2 linked regions of the Kluyveromyces lactis genome follow. The protein of the gene in region 1 binds, or shares a complex with, the protein of each later gene. Links are inferred from orthologs where the notes say so. Each region holds a gene or a part of one and is shown on either strand. Other genes may lie near its edges.

Evidence for each region.
Region 2: RPA34 (region 1) and RPB8 share a complex: the UniProt entries of both Saccharomyces cerevisiae proteins name them as parts of the RNA polymerase I (Pol I) complex. The link is inferred for Kluyveromyces lactis from reciprocal best matches to the Saccharomyces cerevisiae genes RPA34 and RPB8.

What each region holds. Positions count from the first base shown.
Region 1 is NC_006037.1:552,836-555,543, reverse strand, and holds RPA34 (DNA-directed RNA polymerase I subunit RPA34), read left to right. Parts: upstream 1-1,556; coding exon 1,557-2,141; downstream 2,142-2,708. Other genes in the region: rRNA-processing protein LAS1, read left to right, coding at 1-264; transcription factor TFIIE subunit TFA2, read right to left, coding at 2,246-2,708. UniProt on the Saccharomyces cerevisiae protein: DNA-dependent RNA polymerases catalyze the transcription of DNA into RNA using the four ribonucleoside triphosphates as substrates. Component of RNA polymerase I (Pol I) which synthesizes ribosomal RNA precursors.
Region 2 is NC_006040.1:610,578-613,049, reverse strand, and holds RPB8 (DNA-directed RNA polymerase core subunit RPB8), read left to right. Parts: upstream 1-1,510; coding exon 1,511-1,948; downstream 1,949-2,472. Other genes in the region: putative iron-binding protein ISU2, read left to right, coding at 160-702. UniProt on the Saccharomyces cerevisiae protein: DNA-dependent RNA polymerases catalyze the transcription. of DNA into RNA using the four ribonucleoside triphosphates as substrates.

The sequences.
Region 1 (2,708 bases):
GCGAATGAGATAGACGCGAAAAAAGTTATTGAAGAATTTGAGGCAAAGGGGATCAGGAACGTTGAATTAGAGCTCTACAATTCAAGGAAAAGGACGTCTTCTGAAGAAATAGAGCCTGTTTCGGAAGATTCCCCGGCCTTGGATATATTGAAAGACTTGAATGAATTGAAAAATCAGTTCAAAAAGATCAAACAAAGCAATGCCCCCATCTCCAACTGGCAAGAAGTCACCGAGTGGACGCCTAGACCATTTGGCGTTTTGTAATTAGTATAATTAAGCCTTTTAGATACATAAGACAAAGCAAGAAAGATTGACAGTTCTACAGGTTCTGCGATGATAACAGGATTGAAAATGGAAATGGATAATAACATATAAAAAGATCAGACATCCTAGGAAGGTCTCAATAAAGAGCGGTCACTGAAGAGTACTAACGATGGGTTCGTAGGCGTACTCCTACCGTGGAAACTGCGAATGTAAAGGAACCAATTTTCATCATATAAAAAAATGTTAAAATCCATAACGCACAATCATGTTCTTAGCTAAAAAGAAGAAGTGAAACGTTTTGAAGAAATAAATGCAACAGAAGATACGACGATGGATCTTGTTTCACTGTTACTTTGACCTTAAGAAAACTAAAAAGAGAAAACTCAGATGATCTAAATTGTACATGTCAAAGCATGTACTGGCTTAAAAAGTCGTTGCCCCGTAAGACAACAACATGGTAGACTCCCATATCGTCATGGTCGATATCGGACTGGGAAAGAAGTGTAGACCGTTTTCATCATCGTTAAATGTTTTGAAGTTCTTTCGTAAGGTATGAAGTAATAATGAATCCCACGTATATGCAAACTTTTACGTTTATTTCTTCATGGAAAAGGTCTCTTTTCCAAGCGTAACATAGACGAATCAGTGTTTCACGGCTGTGAAACACTGCTCCATCAAGGATACTATAAAGCTCACTTGCCAACAGCAAGTGAGGCTAGAGAACAACCTACAGAACTTTTCAATACCTAACCTGGATAAATGGTTTGATGAGTTTAACATGTCTAGTTTGTTTCTCATTACCAGCCTTTTTATATTCTTCGTGTCGAAGAAGCATGGAAAAAATTTTTGGAATAATTGCGTCGTTCGACATGATAATACAGTAAACCAAGTACTTAGGGCATCGATGTCATACCATTCAACGGGAATCATAGTATTAGTGATCCAATAAATGTTGCTCGAAGGCTGTTCAAGTCGGACATACCATTTCTCGATGGTTTGTGATGAACTGGAACAGATTTCATGAATACGATAGTTTGTTCCACGTGTTAACCACGTGCATTTTCCCGGGTAACGTCTAAAAAGAAAGAAAAGTCTTTCCCAAGATGAAAAAATTCGGTTTAAGCTCATCTCATCTCATTGCAGATTCAAATAGACACACAGAGGCAGATAAGTGAGGTTCTGTGTGGTCCTAGGGTTCCAATTACAGTTTAACTAGTTCAGGTGAGTTTTTGTTACACCCTTCCCTGTAATATTATTCCACTCGCAAAACGTTATAAGAAATATCTCAAACAATGGCCAAGGTCGACAAAACTCTTTCAAAGGAATACATCAGTGATAGCGACAGCGATAATGATGGATCATCAGAAACTGTAACGGACGTTTTCGTTCCACCTGAAAACTATAAGAAATGTACACATTTGAAATCATTCGTGAAGCCTAAGAACTTGAAGCAAAAAGAACTTTGGCTTATCAAACTTCCTAAATCTTTAGATGTCTCTAAGCTTTCGAAATTACCTATTGATTTCACAGCGGAGTCGGAAACTGGCATCGAACAAAAAGGTAAACATTTCTCTGTGAAGGAGGAAATCCAACAAGAAAATTCCACTTCTGGTGCATCTTCTTCTTCTGAATTGACATTATTGACTCCTGTAGATAAGACAAAGTTGACCGTCGATTCATCTGCATCAAGATCATTTGATAAGATCTTTACCATAAGCGAAACTGCAAAGATTCCAAGCATTGATTATTCTAAGGTAAGAGTGGATAGAAAGGATGTGTTGAAGGTTAAGGGTCTCAAGACTAGACATTTCGCAACTGGGTATTACGAGGATAAAGATTTGAAGAAAGTTAGCAAAAAAAAGAGAAAGCACGACTAGAGCACTCGTTCTGGTCTTTCTGTATATTATTTATATATAACGCACTGGTCATATTTTAATTTGGGTTATATGTAGAATACGTTCATTATAAAAAGTAGGTATCTTCATACCCTATCGGAATAATCTCTCAATATACCAGCCATATGTGTATTGGTAACTTTACCCTTTCTTGATCTACGTTTCTTGACCTCTTTCCTTGTGGTTTGCTCATTCTTGATCGTAGCAGGATCCACACTAGCAGGCTTGAGACCCAAATCTTGTAGTTTTCTTGGTAATTCACTACGCTGAGGTAGCTTACAAGCTTCCCACATCGTAACGAACTCTTCATCGATTTGCCTTGATGGACCAGCATGGTTATACCAGACAAACCTTGGAGAATTATCCTTCTTTGTCCGAAGAACAAGGATTCTGTTCTTTGCTTCTAACTCGTCGATTGTATCAAAACATTGTGGCCAACCATCTTTTAACTCTTTACATGATATACCCTTGAACGTCGCCTGTGATCTTAATAGTTGTAGCAATTCCTCCGCAGAATGCACATCGTAAATGGATACGTACTGTAAAGTG
Region 2 (2,472 bases), on another chromosome or scaffold:
TTTTATTATATATATATAAGAGTCATTTATTGTGTATATAATATGCATCACTGTAATTTTATAGCAAGAGCGAAGATCTTCAATAATCCAGATATTGAATCAAGGTTTAGTAGTTCAGGATAACAGATCAACATTCAAAACACATACACATAATTAAAAATGTTTAGAGGACAAATGTTTGCAGTACAGAGGATGGGAAGTGCACTAATGCACGGCGGTGGAGGCGGAACTAGAATAATCGGTGTAGCAGCTGCTAGAGCAACTGCTCCTACCGTCGGCTCTAGTCCTTCCATGGCCTCTGCTAGATTTTACCATCCAAAGGTCATTGATCATTATACAAACCCAAGAAATGTTGGGTCTCTAGACAAGAATTTGCCAAATGTTGGAACGGGTCTTGTCGGTGCCCCAGCTTGTGGTGATGTGATGAAATTGCAAATCCAAGTTAACGACGAAACAGGAGTGATAGAAAACGTTAAGTTCAAGACGTTCGGGTGCGGGTCTGCCATCGCTTCTTCTTCATACATGACCGAATTGGTCCGTGGGAAAACCTTGGAAGATGCAGCAAAGATTAAAAATACAGAAATCGCCAGAGAATTGAGTTTACCTCCGGTTAAATTGCATTGTTCTATGTTGGCTGAAGATGCCATCAAGGCTGCCATCAAGGATTACCAGGCTAAGAGACCTACAACACAGTTGAAATAGAGTGTTAGAGTTAAGAGTTAAATTAATTAGTTAATCTCTAATTTTCTTATTGCTTCTCCGGCTCAAACTTTCATTTGTCCATTGAATGGACTTTAGCATACTCGTCTTTCCCTTAATTCTTTTGGTTTGACTTACGATTTTCCCTCGCATTTTAACTCCACTACAAAGTTAAATCGAACACTATATTTTTCCGAATATATCATACAGTTTCTGAAAGCTATCTAGGAGAGCTAAATTCCAAGATTAGGTACTTCCATTTATCGTGCCTTATCAACTGCCCATGATTCGTAATTTTTTTTTTTTTTTGGCTACCCTTTTTTTTACAACAGTTGTTATCTAGTGTATAACTAACATGTAGGTTCATTCATCATTTGTATTATAATCATCCAGACTGTTCCGACAAGCGTTTCAACTAGTTGCAGAGTTGAGCGGACCGTCTCTCTGTATCCTGGATTCTTCGGACTTCTAAGGGATGGCAAATTGATTAGCGTTACCCGAAGTTGTTTCTTTTACCCGGACACATATTTTTTTCATGGGCAAGAAAAATCTTGAAAAATTTCGTTGTAACTCATCGCCTGAAGGAACAACTGAGAGACAGACAATCATATACATGTGATGCGCTTTCGATTCGGCTCACTGTAGATAGTCTCATATCAGCAGTGAAATTATTAGTTTGAAACCTTTCATACCCACTACAGACTCTCCGATAAGTTCCCTTCTTTTTCGTCTCTCATTTGTGTTCCTACTGGCCCACCGACTTTAATAACTAGAACCAACACAACAGTACTCTCATTTACCAACACACGTCATGTCATCGGCACTATTTGATGACGTTTTCACCGTTCAAGAAGTGGACACAGGAAGATACAACAAGGTCTCTCGTATTGAAGCTCAATCGACTTCACAAGAATCCTGTAAGTTAACATTGGATATCAACAGTGAATTGTTCCCAATAAAGACTCAAGATCAACTTGCAGTCATGATCACAACTTCTCTCCAACTTGACGGATCGGAGGAACCTCAGGGTACCTCTTGGAGAGCACCACCTGCTGGAACCAGATCTCTTGCAGATGATTATGACTATGTCATGTACGGAACTGCCTACAAATTCGAAGAAGTTAAGGGTAACAAGGATTTGCTTGCAGTATACTATTCATTTGGTGGCTTGTTGATGAGACTTGAGGGAAATTATAGACTTTTGAACAACTTGAAACAAGAAAACGCTTACTTATTGTGTCGTAAGTAAGAAATCTTGTGGGTACTATATATCATAGTCAAAATAGAAAACCGACAACTGTATAATAGACTTTCAGGTCAAAGCTCTGGTTCTTCACTCCTCCGGAAGCTACGGCCTTTACTTACACCTCTCCTCATATATTAATGCATTTTTAACTTTCCATCTTAGCTTCCTATCTTCAAACTGTTCTTACTTCCAGTCACCACAGCATAACGAAGTTGCTCTTTCTTTTGCTCGAGGATTCTTCAATTCTGTGCTTCTTTGTATAAGAGGAGATACCATAGAAACTGTTAAAGCCGTCTTTTTTCTCGAAAATAGAAAAGTTAGGATCCAATGACCTCAATAAATAGGGTTCGGCCATTGCCAGTTGATGGCAAAATATTCGAGACGGGCGTTGAAGGAGCATATTAGCAGTAGATATATAAATATAGAAGAAGGTCTATTTTGTTAGGTTACCCATATACAGGGGTTATTAGTGTTCAATCCATATTTTTTTTGATTCTTTGGCGATAGGCAAGGGTGCATTATTCAGT